Alligator mississippiensis: one gene and its partner. The protein of the gene in region 2 binds, or shares a complex with, the protein of the main gene of each other region. Links are inferred from orthologs where the notes say so. Each region holds a gene or a part of one and is shown on either strand. Other genes may lie near its edges.

Region 1 (7,798 bases), on a different chromosome or scaffold from region 2:
TGATGATTCCTGTAAATTGCATTATTCAGTCATATAACATGAAAATGGCATTAATTAAAGTACCCCAAACAATAAGTTCACCTACTAATATGCAAGAGACTAAAAACTCATCACTCAATGCACTTTTATTGTAGTTACTTTCATGGGCATGAAAGCGAGTTTGAAGAGCAGTTCTGCCTACCCCACCAAATTACTGGTAGCCAAGGAATTTGAATGCAAGACAAGTAGTGTTAACATCCTACTGCAGAATCTGGGGCCCTAGGGCCAAGAGGGGACATGACCATTGGTGGCAGCGGTGAGACAGGGCTGTGCAACAGCCCTCAGTAGCCCTGAAGCCACCTGGCCTGCAGCCACTTGTGCACCACCACCACACCCTGGCCCATGGCCACTTGTCCCACTTCTATCACCCTGGTCCAGATCCAGCTCACGAGGAAACCCATAGGCAGGATTCAGGCCCAGGCACAAGGTAGGTTTATCACCCTTGTGATAAATATTGTAATAGAGATAATAAGAATCATGGAATTTAATATAGCCAAGAGCAAAGCAAGTGCTAGTCAGCATTAACACAAATTATGAAAAAGCTAGAAGAGTGAACAGCAGCATGGAACAACCTACCAAAGCAGGTAAGCCTAGAACAGCAGTACAAAGCAATAGGCAGAAAAGGTTCCTTGGGTGAATTTGATATCTTTTATTAGACCAACCCAAATAGTTGGAGAATAGTTATTAAGCAAGCTTTTGGGTTCAAAAACCCTTCAACAGGCTAAGGAAGTTTCAGCAGTTGGTGTGTGCTCTTCCTGGATGGAATGAAAAGTCCTTAGACCAACATGGCTACAACCTAAACCTGTACAAAGTAATACACACTCTCCCTTCCCTACCCTCCTCCCCCAAAAATGAAACAGTCCCCTGCTTCTCATTAGCATTTGTTGGACAAAAGGGTTGATGTTACTTTTGGCTATGGCTGCAGGTCACGTAGCATGTTCTAAAAAAGGAACCACCAGTATCCTTGATAAACCTATGGGCCACTGCCAAGGCAGTACACAGAGTTTGCATAACCTGTGAAAATATTCACAGGTTATGCAAATGTTTCAAGAAAAACACTTGCATAAGGCAAGTGTTTCAAGAAAAAATCTCATTAGGAAACTTTAAACACTACGCTTGTTCACTGAAAAGTTAAAACCAACCCCCTCCCCCCCAACAAAAAAAACAACGTTCCTTAGGACAGCTTCTCTGGGTAAGTAAGAAATGATGCCACTCTCATAGTGCTCGGTATACTGTGTACGGTAGTAGATCCACTAGCAAGGTGCATTTAGACTAAGCAAGTTGTGTATTAGAGAGGCAGGACATTTTGCGGCTTTGATGGGAACTTCTGCATGGCACATTTCGATCTGAGACTGAACAGATGACCTAGGGCTTATCTATGTGTCAAAGTTGCATGAACTTTATACCGGTTAGGACCAGTATAGCTTCCCTATGACTGCCCCACTCCCGTCTCTCTCCCCCTTTCCCTTCTGCCTTCGTATTCATATAGTCTCTTTCTGCCCTTACCCGCTGCTCCCTGTACCTCCTTTCACAGCAGCTGAAGTCAGCTCTAGCTCACAAGCTTGCGATGCAAATATTTATCCATCAGTACCTATATTGACAGACACAGACAGGCAGACATAGCTATACCTACAGATACGCAGATCTTGCCAAACAGACAGATGTACCTATACCTATGGATCTGAAGGTCTTGAAAAACAGATGGACAGATGGACATATCTATACCTACGGACATGTAGACATATCTATACCTATGGATATGTGGATCTTGATAGACAAATGGACAGATGTACCTATACCTACAGATACATGGATCTTGACAGACAGAAAGACAGTCATATCTATACTTATAGATATGCAGATCTTGAAAAACAGATGGACGGACAGACAGATGTACCTATGCCTATGGATACACAGATCTCAACAGACAGACAGGCATACCTATACCTACAGATATGTAGGTCTTGACAGACAGATGCACCTATATCTACAGCTACGTAGATCTTGGAAAAACAGACAGGTGGACAGACACAGATATCCATACCTACAGATATATTGATCTTGATAGACAAACAGACAGATATACCTATACCTCTGGATATGTGGATCTTGATAGACATAAAGACAGCCATAGACATATATATACCTATGGATACTCAGATTTTGAAAAGCAGATGGACAGACAGACAGATGTACCTATGCCTATGGATAAACAGATCTCGACAGATAGATGCACCTATATCTACAGCTACATAGATCCTGGAACAACATACATGTGGACAGACAGCTCTCGATAGACAAACAGATGGACAGACAGACGTACCTATACCTAAGGATATGTGGATCTCGATACACAGACAGATGCACTTATAACTACGGATCCATGGAGCTTGAGAAGCAGATGGACGGACAGATGTACCTAGACCTACAGACACATAGGTCTTGACAGAGAGGCAGAGGGACAGACAGACCCACCTAGTCCTATGGATGCATGGATCTTGATGGACGGACTCTTACACACCAGGTACAGGCAGGCAGACATACAGTACCCACCTGTCCCTACAGATCCGTGGCTACCGCTAGACCGACACCGCAGTACCTACGGAGACGCAGACACAGGCGGCCAGACAGACAGATCCCTACCTGCCCCCGCGCCCCGCCCGCCGAGCCACCGCCTCCCACGTGCTCCGCCAACCGACACTGCAGGGGCCGAGGGACAGTGACGTAGAACCCCCCTCCCCCAGCCGCTCTCACCGCTGCACAGCCGCTGCACTGCTCCTGCCGCGGACTCCGGGCACCGAGCAGGTGTGGTTAGATCTGGCCTGGCTCGGCCACCATCTCCAGCCCCACCTCTGACCCGACGCATGCGCGTGTCGCGCTGCCTGCCCCCATCCTGCCTATTGGCTTCTCCTCGCCCAGGCCGGGCCACGTCACAGTAACTTAGACCTCCGCATAGAACCGCACCTGAATGGACACATCGCCCCAGCCCGCGGCCCCTCCCCTCCCCTGAAGGTTCGGCAGTGGCAAGCGCCCGGCGCCGCTAGCCGCGCCCCTTGCGGAACCAGGGGGCGGGGCGGGGCTTGGGCGTGACGTTGTGCCCAAGAGGCTCTGGTCCTGGGTGGGGGGGTTCTGCGCTGGGCCCTGCTTGGTGCGGCCTGCAGCGGGGCGGGACTACAGCCCCGGCCCCAAGGCTGCAAGGGGCGCCCACAGTCCCCTGCAGGACCCCGGCCTGAGTCTGCACAGAGCCTGCAGCAGCTGCGTGCAATGGAGAGGAGCTGTCAGCCTGGTGCTCAGCCCCCGCAGCTTCCACCCACCCCCGCCCCTCTTCAAATATTTCCATTTGAGTGGAAACCACCTTTTTTTTTTTTTTTTGAGACAGCTGTTAAAAAAAATACCTGCCAGCAGGGAGGCACAGCTGTGTGTGCCACCTTTAGCAATGGCAATCGGGACTCAGCAGAGATGACATCTTTTATTAGACCAAGATTTTTGCAAAAAAAAAAAAAAAATTCTTTAGCAATGTGCGCTTGACTTTTTCCATATATATATATATATATATATATATATATATATATATATATATATATATATATATATATAAAAAAAAGTTTTTCATGTTCCAAGCTAAATCAATTCCAAATCTGTGAGTCATTCAAGAACCATATGTGGCCCTACTACCAGCAAGGCCCTGTTAGCCTCCACCCCTGCCTGGGGGCTTCAAATGCTTCCAAATCCTCTGGCGGGCATCCTAGGTGCAGGCCTAAGCCCTGAAGCATGGGGTTCAGATGCCCCTGAGTTTGGCTTGCCCTCAGCTGTACGGCCTCAGGAGCAAGCTAAGGAGGAGTCCTCCATTTCCATAGTTGTCGCCTAGCCGAGATCCTACCACTGGAAGCTGGGCAGTCAGAAGCTAACTGAGGCTCTCGCAGGGAGTCCTGTCCGCAAGCAGACAAAGGTACAACCCTCCACAATGCCATTTTAATTGCATTACCTCGGTCAGGGTATTTCCCCTGTCACCATTGTGGGTATTTTTCCTGCCAAATAAGTATGTGCACTTGACTTTTTTTTTTTTAAAGAAAATTTTTTGTGTTTCAAGTGAAATCAGCCAAATCAATTTCAAATCCATGAGTCATTCAAGAACCATATGTGGTCCTACTACCAGCAAGCATCCTTCACTCGCACCTGGGGCTTCAGATGCTTCCAAATCATTCGGCAGGCATCCTAGGTGCAGGCCTAAGCCCTGAAGCATGGGGTTCAGGTGCCCCTGAGTTTGGCTTGCCTTCAGCTGTACGGCCTCAGGAGCAAGCTAGGGAGGAGTCTCCCCCTTCTATAAAGTCAGTGTATAGCCAAATTCTTCCCACTGGAAGTGAATGTGGGAGGCTAACTATGCATTACCTCGGTTGGGTATTACCCCCTGCCAATAAAGTGGTTTCCCCCTGCCAGTAGGAAAACCACCGTAGTGGTCATGGTATTTCCAGCAATGGATGAAGGGAGCAGTAGCCTGGGAAAGCTTGTGGCTAATGTAGAGAGATGGATAGAGAGACAGGTCTCTATGCCTGTAAATGGAGCTCACCCACAGAAGCTTCGGATGGATAGGTGTCTTCGCCTGTAAAAGTACAGCTATTGACATATAGCTAGACAGATAAATAGATCTTTGCATGGATAGGTATTGATATATGTGTGCCTGTAGCTATAGGTATGTAGAAAAACACTCACAAATCTTGGTATTATTTTGCCAGCCACCTCTACTTCTTCGCTGTCTGGCTGCTCGGCATCACCCCTCTCCAAGGACTGAGATCTTGCAGTGGTGGGGAGGCTCGTGTGTCCCAATGACCCTCTGAGCTATGTTGCCCAGAGTCATACTCCTGGCTAGGTCATCAATGGAGAACAGGCCTGCGGCGAGGTTCCAGGCAAACCGTGATCCAACCCCAAGTCCTAAATGGTGGCTCAGGCAGGAGATGATGTCAGGATCTCTACAGCTGTAAACATGGAAAAGGGATGCAGCAGATGGAGGTCTCCTATCGTTTAGAGCAGGGGTTCCCAAACTTTTTATGCTGCGGACCGGCAAATTGCGGACCAATGGTGAATGGCATACTGCGGACAAGCAGCCAACCCGTTTTTATATTCAGCCACTTCTGGGCTTCTGCTCTGGCAGCCAACCCTCCTGCAGACTGGCAGCCAACCCTTCACGGCCAGGTACCGGGCCACGGCCTGGGGGTTGGGAACCTCTGGTCTAGGGTTTTCCCTTGCTGTTAGGCTCAGATCTCCACCTCATCAAGATCATGTGGTTACTGTTGCTGTGCACCAGGTTCCTTGTGTTAAACAAAGTCAGGTGCCAGCTTCTACCACAGGAAATAACACATTGGGTATCATGCCATCCAGAGATGTGAGGGGTGGTGGCCACTTTTACAGACTGCTTTGGGCCTATGTGATCATGCACATCATAGCAAGTGGATCTCAAGCTGGGGAGCCCAGTTATGATCTGAATAACCTGTGCAATCTGATGAATGTTATATCTGATTCTGCTCCACCAAGGAGCTGCAGGATTGGGGTAGAGATTGGAGGGGTGGTATTGGTTTGGAGGCTTTTCTTATTTCAGCTGAGGGATTGTATTTTTGTGTTTTTTTTCCTTTCATGCACTGTGCGTGTTAAATGTCAGGCTTCTCACCTACACAGTACATGTTTCCGGAGCTTGCTGGTTTGATTGCTTCAGAGGTGATCTTCAGAGTTCTTTACTTCTATTAGTGTCACTGTAACAGGGAATTCATACCCTGTTACCTGGGGAGTAAGGGAAGGGAAGGAAAAAAAATGGTGGCAGGGAGCTAGGAGGCCCTGGCCCCTTTAGGAGAACTCAGTGGGCTCAGCTGGCCCTGGCTGCAGGAGGGCAGGCTTCCTCTTGATTGACAGGGAAAGCCCTGTGCAGAGCTCCAAGAGGCACCTGATCAAAATGGGGCATGGCTCCCAGCCATATAAACCCAGGGCCTGAGTTAAAGCAGTCAGTCTGGCTTTGGGAGCTGTTGAGGAAAGAGCTCTAGGACAGGAGAGCTGCAGAGGAGCTCCTGGCTGACAGTTATAGCTAGAGTGCTTATTTTGGGGGTTAGGGTTTTATGCTGGTAGACCAGGTTGTGGCTACAAAGGGCAGATGAGGCCAGGGGGGGGCACCTAAGGGACACACCTAGAACTGAGCCAGAGTGGGGTGCTTGAGGTAGGTGGCACACAGAGGCTTAAAGCCATAGTGGTGCCTCAGCAGTACAAGCTGTTTTTGAGCCCTGCCAGGGGCTGGGGCTCATGATGGGCAAGTGGAGTCGAAGTAGGGTGACCACCTGTCCCTAGCTGGGCAGGACTTCAAGTCTTGGTCCTGGGCTGCATGATTCTGGGACAGCATTTGTTCTAGATTCACAGTATCTGCAGGGATTTTGAAAAGGCTGCCAGCCTGCAAAGGGCTGACAGGTGGTGAATGACTGGGGGGTGCTATGTGCATGTGTGTGCCCCCACACATTCACGTGGCCAGAAAATACAGCTGAGAAGCATGAAGAGCCTCTCCCTGCAGGTATATCTGTGGGGGAGAGGGGGCATGGGAGATCAGAGGGGGTGCAGATTGAGGCCCCCACAGTGACAGATGGAGTGGGGCAGGGGTGGATGTGGGCTGCTCACTGGGGGCTTGGGGCTTGCTGCCCTGCCCCCGGGGGGCCCACAATGGCTGTGCCACCTTGGTGAGGTACCCCTTGCCCACCTGGCAGCAATGGGGACAGTGGTGGCATGGAGTTGTGGCCCTGCTGCTGAGGGAAAGGCAGCAGGGTGGGGAGCCCTGAGCCTGCAGTTGGCAGCCCAAATCCAGCACCTGCTCCGCTTGCCTCTGCTCGGCTCTGGTCCAGCTGTGGTGGCAGTGGCAGTAGGGAGGGGGGTGGGAGGAGGCAGGCATGTGTACTGCCTTCCACTTTGGAAAAGGTGGTCACCTTAAGGCCAAATGAGCCAGGATCATATTACACCGGTAGTAGAGGTGGCCTGAGGCCAAGAGGGCTAAGGGTCAAAGCCTGAAAAGGGGGAATTGGGGGCCAGGAGCTTAGAGCAAAGAGACAAGGGCCAAGGGCCCAAGCTGAGTGAGATGGGCCAAGGGTCAGATAAGGCTGAGATTCAGAAGCCAAGCCTAGAGGGAACGGGCCTAGGCTGGCAGTTTGCAGCAAAGTGACCAGCAGGCTAAAACTAAGAGGGCTGAAGCCCCTACAAGCTGATGCATCAGTCTAGACTGACACCTGTGAGGCATGGGTGTGACTATGGGGGCAGCTGGAGGTCACAAATTTAGGTCTTAAGGCATGTAGGGCTGGAGAATGATGCTGAGATGGAGAAAGTGCCTAGGCTTATACCAGGTCTCCAAGGCAGCCTCCCCTTGTTACTTTAACAACCAGGTGTGGCAGGAAAGGAATCAGGGTGATACTCTGGGAGGCTGGAGTGGGAGCAGGACAGGATAGAGATGATTTAAAAAAAAAAACAACAACAACAAAAAAACAAAGGAGTGGGGGGGGTAAAATACTGCCTCACTTGTTATAATCACCCTAACCTTTGTTTATATGTATCTTTACAGACATGTCTCTTACCTTGGGTTGGAAACATGCCAATCTATTCCTTCTCGGCCTCTTGTCGGCTCAGATCGAGCGTAGTCCTATGCTTGCCTGGCAAGGGAAACACTGTGACTGCTGGGGCGGTCTCCTTAGTTGCACCTGGGGAAGACCGCTCTCCTGATACAGGGATAGTACCTGCCAAGGTA
Region 2 (7,500 bases):
GTTGTGAACAAACTTTAAAAATGGATTCACTTTTAAAAGAGAAAAAAAAAACTTTGGAAACCATGGCTTTTTCCTTGTAGGCTGGCAGAGTTCCAGCCTGCGAGGGGCTGCTTAGGGCTCCCCATGCCCCACACACACCCTGCCTGCCCCACACACTGTGGGCTGGTGCCTCGAGTTGGGGGAGGGGTGGTGGTGGTGGGGGAAATGGGTCGAGAGTGAGGGGAACTGGCTCAGGACTGGCCACTGATGTTTATGAATGGGTCCTGGTACATAAAAGGTTGAGAACCACTGAACTACACCACACCTCATTTAATTCTGGTAAAGAACAAGGCAACCAAAGGCAAGAGGGTCCCAATAAAGCCTTTGCCTCATAAAAAATTTACTTCCTGTGAAGATTAATTGCAAAGCAAGGTTCAACCTTCAAACTTGAACCATTTTTTTCTTTACATAGCTAAGAAACAAAAGGGGGGTGTCATTTTTAAACCAATATATATAGGAAAAAACCAAACAAGCAATACAAAACTATTATATTTTTGTGTGACTAACAGACATCAAGTGTAAGACCATTTTGCAACCCTATTGTAAGAGGAAGTTTCCAACTAACCTTTCCATCATTGTCAAAAGAGTCAAAGAAAATGCCAACACCATTCCAGTTATCAGCTGCCCCAAAAACTGGACCCTCCAGGCCTTGATCTTCAGTAAACCAGATTGCCTGTGCACAAGAATCAAATGCAAGTCATAAGATTCACATTTAGAAAATAAGTTTGTTGTATAAATTAAATCAAATTCATATACCAGTCCATCTGCTCCAATGCGGCCTCTCCCTGTCACTCGAAATGTCACCTCAACCTCCCAGTTTTCAAATACAGATTTGTTTTTTGTCCACACTGATCCTCTCTGGCTTTTCAGTGACGGAGTTATTCGAATCTGATCCGCGCTAGGTATGGCATCTGAAAAAGGAAAGAAACCAGCATTAAACATAACAGCAAGCACAGCAATTGATTTTTACCTGTAAACACTTAACCTTAGCCTCGTAGTAGATGGTTCTCACTGCTGAGCCAACCAATTTCAAATAGTATTAAATATTAAAATTAATATGCTATACTTCACCATTTTTAAAAGCATTGAAGGATTTTCTAAAGTTACTGAATGTTTTACAGGTGCCTTATTCAAAGTTCCTGAACATGAGAAGAAGGTTGGTCTCATGGTTGGGGCACTGGACTCCAAGGCAGCAGATCAGCATTCAGTTTTCTGCTTTCATATGTTCCTACGTAACCTTGGGTAGATTACTTATTTTCCCCACCTTGTGTGCCCACTACTAAAGCACTACTTCCTTTTATGCACTCCTTGCCCACGGTAACATAAACCCTAAACTTTTTGGACTTGGTCTTGCTATTACATGAAGTACTCAGTGGGAACCCAATCTCAGTTAGGACCACTAAGTGCGGTGGTTATACAGTTCTAAAGAGAAGATTTACTGGAACGCACATTTAGATACTCTATTTATTTAATAAATAAAAAGTTATGTGCAACCAATTTATTTAAAAACTTACACTAATAAAGAGCTGCTTAAAGTCATCTCTCTCTGCATCTTACCATGTCTATAGAGTTAGCAAAAGTACACAGATATATGTAAGATGTCCAAATATTCCCATTAAACTACATTAAATTCCTTCACAGAAAGTCAATATACAGCTTCTTTGGGGTGCGCCAGTGCTCCTGCTAGGACCATAAGCTGGAGGTTCCTGGCCAAAGGGTCTTGGGTTAGACCAATCCCTGTATCTGGGGTCAGGAATTGTACCCCACGGTCGGCCTGGCACAGATGATGGGGGGGTTTAGACTGGCACAGATGATGGGGGTTTGCCTTCCTCTGTAGCAGGGGAGGTAACCTTCTGCCTAGGATCTCTTAAGCATGTACTGACAACATTTCACAGAAGCAGGACGTTGGCTGCTCTGGTTCCCCTGCTTTACCTGTGGCAGATTAGGGTGTTAGGTCTGTGCTGTGTCAGGGCTAAGGGTAGTTTTAGGAGGCATTTCCATTACGGATTGTATAGGGTGGTTTGGACAGGGCTGATCCTGCCTCAGGTGGGGGGCTGGACTCTAGGTGACCTCTCGAGGTCCCTTGCAGCCCTACACCTGTGCGATTTGCAGCACCTGAGACAGAGCAATGCTCTGCCACTAGCACGTATCCGCACGTTTTCTAAACCGAGCCAACCAATGGGCGAAGCAGCAATCTGGAAGTATAATAAAGACGTATCATAACCCTGCCGCAAACCACGGAGAGGTTACCTAACCAGCACGCCGTAAACAATGCAAATGCATGCCCTCTCGCAACCAAGGCATGAGCCTAACCCGATTTCTAAAAAACCCTGTCTCTGGGACTCGTTTCAAGGGCTGGTCCCAGGCCACAAGTTTCGCTCTGCTCCGAGTGACACATCATCACTGGGCTGGGACGAGCTGCCGGCAGCGGCCCTACTGAGCCCCAGAGCTGCCGGCCGTCCCCTGACGCCTGGCGAACTTGCAGTATCAGGCTCCCTTTCCCCAGAGATAAGGATAATAACCACCGTTGTTTGCACCGTGCTCAGCCCCCTTACGGACACCCCCCCCCAACGCAGGTGGCTGGGAGCGGTTTGGGGACACGCCAGAGCAGCCGCCCCGGCCCCGGTCCGGCTAGGGGGCGGCGGGCAGGACTGAACAAAGCCCCGCGGGCTTCCCCCCCTGCCCGGCCGGGCCCCTACTCACTGCCCGTGTGCGCCCAGAAGGGCACGGCGCCGTCCGCCTGCACCAGGTGCGGCCCCTTGAAGCTGTACTTGTACTCGAAGCGGCGGTGCGGCCCCACCGCGCCCGTGCCGCCGGCCCAGACCAGCAGCACCAGCAGCAGCCGCCGCCACAGGCTGCCCCACGCCCGCGCCCGCCCGGCCCCCGCCATCTTGCTCCGCCGCGGCCGCCCGGCGCAGCCAACAGGGCGCCCCCTGATTGGCTAAGCGCGGCGCAGGGGGGGGCGGGCAAAGGGCAACGGAACGCACCCGCCGCATGGCCCCGCGCGCGCGGATAAGGAGGGGGCGGGGCCCAAGCGAGTCCCGCCCACCTCTGCTACGCCCCCTCCCCTGCTGCCAGTGGCTTCAGGCGGGTCGGCACACAAGCCCCGCCCACCTCCCTGGCCCCCGCGCAGTTCAGCCACCGGCATCGCCCCGCCCCTCCCTATGTCGTCAGAGGGGGCGGGGCTGAGTGATCTGGGGTTGGGGTCACCGGGGCAGCTGCCAGGCAGGGGTGGGGGAGCCAGGGTTTTGGAAAGAGGGGTTGGGGGGGGGGGGGTGTCCAGTGAGTCGTCATCACATGTAACAGAATCAGGGATCCTGGTTTTCTTGCTTTCAAAAAAATCCCCAACTTTCAGTTAAAAAAAGGAACCCCAAATACACATTTTTCCATGATTTAAATGAAACACCACTAATAGATGGATAGACAGATAGTGGTGTTTCATTTAAATTTTAAAATTAAGTCATTTTAATTAAGTCAAGTAATTAAGTTAAGTCATTTTAATTAACTAAAAAATTTCAGTAATTAAAAAAAGTTACCTCAAATCCACTTTTTTCCATGATTTAAATGGAACATCACTAATACTTAGATAGATATATAGATAGTGGTGTTTCATTTAAATTTAAAAATTAAGTCATTAAATTTAAATAATTAAAAAAGTAACCTCAAATCCACATTTTTCTGTGATTTAAATGAAACTTCAGTCACCAATATAGAGATATATATAGGTAGATAGATAGATATCTATAGAGATATATCCACATTTTTCCTTGATGTAAATGAAACACCATTACTGTATCTATCTATCTATCTATCTTTATTAAATCACAAAAAAATGTAGATTTGAGGTTACTTTTTTTTAACTGAAACTTGCGGATTTTTTTTAAATCAGAGAAAACCAGGATCCCTGAACATAATGCACACTTTTATCACATGAAAAAGTGATTAGAAATTTTACTAATAAGCCCGTGGCCTGCAGGGATAGTTTTCAATTTACGATGGCAGCAAAAGCAAATATAAATTCGCTGTGCCATATATTATACATCTAAAAACACCCCATAAACTAGACGAAAATAAAACAGTAAAAATAGGCTGTTTTATCGGTCCTGGAGTCATTATAAATTTTCAGTTTCATAAAATCAAGCCTTCTTGAGCATCTTGACACTGCCTCCAGTACTTCCCTGAATTAATGCCGTGAGCCAGTGTTAAAGAAAGAGGCTGCAGGGTTGTGAAACAGGAGAGACATGACCAAGAGCGTTAACAGGCAGCAGTGCTGCAGAAGAAAGACCAGCTTATTCAGAGGTGTAGGTTTTAGCCCTGTTTGCTGCTCTAAGGACACAGGCAGACAGGGGTCTTTGAGTAAATCTGATATCTTTTATTAGACCAACTAAATAGTTGGAAACATTTTTCTTAGGAGGCTTTCGGGTTTAAAAACTGACAAGGGGTTTTTAAACCCAAAAGCTTGCTAAGAAAAAAGTTTCCAACTATTTAGTTGGTCTAATAAAAGATACCAGATTTACCCAAAGATCCTTGTCAGCTTATTCAGTGGAACATAAAGACCAATAAAAAGAGGGAGGGTCGTTAACACGGGTGGAATGGAGAGTTTAGAAGGACTGGGTGGAATATAATGAGCCATGAAGTCAATCGACCCCTTCCTTGCTGCTCAACAGATATGTTGCTGCCACCTGTGGGCAGTTTTCAACGTTGGGTGGAGCAGACATCAAAGCAGGGTGCAAATGCACCAGTGTATCCCACCCCCATCCCCTGCTGGTCCTTTTTTCCTATGAATCAAGAGGCAGCCAGAAGAGGAAGGTCCCTGTATCCAGAAACAGCTTTCCCCTGCTTTAGGGTTCACATCTGAGCAGCTTAGAGAAGAGAGTCCATGTGGGAATGACACAAACCCACCCAGACCTGGCACAACCCATGCTATCGTATCGGCACACTGCCAGGACTTTGGCACCAGATCATAGTTGCCTTAAATAAAGAACTGAGCCAAGTTTTACCAGCTGCTCTAAGCAGACCGTATGCCACCTGATCTAGGCCCCGGCCTTCCACAAGATCTGCCTGGTTAATTCCACTCCCGTAGCACCAGCTTGAAAACAACCCAAAATTTTGATTCAACCCTATGCATCTTTCATACATGTGTCTTCATGTTACAATTAAAGTAGGCAAACAATTCATGGTCACTAATGAGGTGAATCTCTGGGATACACGTTGATGATTACCTGTGCTCTAGAAACAAGGTTCTTGACAAAAATGGCAATATTTTCTCATAGGAACTTGGCTTTCAAAGTCAGCTTTTTATAGGATGGGAGGGGGAATTGGAGGTACGGTATGAAATAACAAAACATAGTATCATAGGTGTGGTTGTAGAATAAAGGAGTGACAACACCTCTTGGTCCTAGTGAATGATCATATTTTTTGTAATGATCAGAAATCTTTTTTGCTTCCTTGACACAGAAAGGCTCTCGTTGTTTTCAACAAATGCAGCCAGATCCTCACTAGAGATAAATTTGGGTCACATAAGGTGCTAAGCATGGGCACTATTATGGAAGCTGGTGAGTGCTGGAAACTACTGGACTCTATCTTGAAGAATTAGGTCCATACAGTTTGTTTTGGGGGATGCCTGTGAAAGGGGAGTGTACAGAGCATGGAGCATTTCTGTAAAGAGGTCTAGCTGTTTGGCTTCATACCTCTAACAACTTCATATCTTTTTTTTAAGCCCTGTGGGTATGTTGTTTTTGCCTTTGTTTCACTACCATGACTTCCAGCCAATTTTACCAAGAAATGGCTGACTTTGTTTTAGGTATATTGTTCTATATTATGGCTTCCTTTCATATCACAGCAATATGCAAAATTTCTTTTCCAGTTTCCTTCCTTCTTTTCCTGCTTCTTTCCCCTGTCTTTATTCATTTGCTTCTGTGAATCCTAGCTTTCCATTTACCTAATCAGTTAACGTGAGTTATTTAAAGAGTCACTATACGGGTTCATAACCTAATACAGAGGATGATGATCTGGACCTGCTCAGAAGAAATGATGCTGTGGTGGCTTGTTTTAACATAACATACAAATGCATTAATGTAGCTAAGAATAGGATCTTAGACATCAGTCAAGAAAGGCACATTCCCTTCATGAACTACATGGGATTAAAGCAAACACTGACCATATTTTATATTCAAAGTATTCCTTCAAATTACTTTTTAAAAAAATCCAATGTCATATAAGCATGTGTGAGTACTTGGTAAAAGTTAATGATATTATAAAGCATAGAAATATCTCATGCAGTTTTATATTGATAGTATCTTTCATGCAACTTGCATACTGATCCAAATTAGTCAGTGATCCAAATTAATAACAAAGGGGAAAGGAAACAAAACATCTACCAGTGAAAAAAAAACATGTTTTCAGGTGAGAGTTCAAAATGTGGAGTAGATGGGATGAAGAGATACAAGGAGAAAGAAATAGTAAATCCAAATAAGTAAATAACATGACTTTCCAGAGAAAAGCTCTCATGCAATAAATGGCAGAAAGAGGTAACAGTGGGATGGGGTGACCAGAGGCAGGAGGAGGAGGAACAGAGCAGAAGAAAATAGTCCTTCATACTTCTGGAGCAAGTGTGAGGAAGCTTTAAAAAAAATCAGTGTGTCAACTGGAAGAGGAAGATTGGACTATCAGTTTCTTCCTCCCAGCTAACCAAGAAACAGAAAGCTCAACTCTTCTTCCTGTCTGGCCAGAAATAGTTTTTGGTTGCCAGGGCATAAAAACAGAGACCTCTGCTACAATGTAACATAATGGCAAATGCTTCAGAGGCCTAATAGTGTCAAGCCCTTTCTGGGGGGATTGTAACTTTCAACACTTACTGCAGGAGCCTGTTATGGTGGTAACTCTTTTAGCTTGTCACGCGAATAAAATCATTGAACTGAATTGCAACTGACTACTCTAGTAAAATGAGAGCACTAGAAAACAAAATGATCTCTGTCTCACACACGAACAGGTCTGATATCCCATCCTGCAAGGGGCATGCAAACAGATACGTAGACAAAAAGACAATCCTATTAGGTGGTTATATAATAAATGAACTTATCTCAACCAGAGTTCAGGAACAGTGATGATGTATAGTTATTTGCAAAACTCCAAATTTTCCTTCTGGTTATTCAGTTTCTTGGCATTTGGCTAATCATGGGAGCCTGTTACAGTATGTAAATCTCCAGTGTCTGGCAGTTAAACTGTCAGAAGGCAACAATTTGCAAATCAGTTCAGTTATTCTTAGTAACCATACTGTCAGGCAAATCTCTTATTAGTTAATATAACTTTTCTGTACTGATGGGTACCTATATTCATAATTTCTTCTTGTTTGCCAGTAACAAAGACTCCACATAAGCTTCTGAGACCCTTAGCTGAAGAGGAAAACTAGAATTTATACAAACACAGTATCTACCACACCAAAAATCAGGGGAACTCCAG

Evidence for each region. Proteins that work in one complex are often made in the same cells at the same time.
Region 1: the proteins of LMAN1 (region 2) and MCFD2 are in contact, whole or in part, in a cryo-EM structure (PDB 8JP5), measured with the Homo sapiens proteins. The link is inferred for Alligator mississippiensis from reciprocal best matches to the Homo sapiens genes LMAN1 and MCFD2. Residues at the interface, in NP_005561.1 of Homo sapiens: His43, Arg44, Arg45, Phe46, Tyr48, Lys49, Ser51, Phe52, Lys53, Pro55, His56, Gln59, Ser60, Asp61, Val64, Pro65, Phe66, Trp67, Lys96, Phe265, Glu273, Lys279, Glu280, Ile281, Glu285, Lys286, Tyr289, Glu292, Phe293, Phe296; in NP_001164977.1 of Homo sapiens: Val59, Ile60, Asn61, Lys62, Gln70, Glu71, Leu74, His75, Phe77, Lys78, Tyr82, Asp83, Asn86, Asp89, Gly90, Leu91, Glu92, Thr95, Thr98, His99, Val100, Leu111, Glu114, Leu117, Ile118, Ile121, Asp122, Leu125, Asp129, Lys130.

The regions. Positions count from the first base shown.
Region 1 is NC_081824.1:199,638,614-199,646,411, forward strand, and holds the start of MCFD2 (multiple coagulation factor deficiency protein 2), read right to left. Parts: upstream 3,008-7,798; 5' UTR 2,794-3,007; intron 2,686-2,793; exon of another isoform or gene 2,593-2,685; intron 2,590-2,592; exon of another isoform or gene 2,515-2,589; intron 1-2,514. UniProt on the Homo sapiens protein: The MCFD2-LMAN1 complex forms a specific cargo receptor for the ER-to-Golgi transport of selected proteins. Plays a role in the secretion of coagulation factors.
Region 2 is NC_081826.1:282,324,086-282,331,585, reverse strand, and holds the start of LMAN1 (protein ERGIC-53), read right to left. Parts: upstream 3,006-7,500; 5' UTR 2,930-3,005; coding exon 2,743-2,929; intron 951-2,742; coding exon 796-950; intron 713-795; coding exon 605-712; intron 1-604. UniProt on the Homo sapiens protein: Mannose-specific lectin. May recognize sugar residues of glycoproteins, glycolipids, or glycosylphosphatidyl inositol anchors and may be involved in the sorting or recycling of proteins, lipids, or both.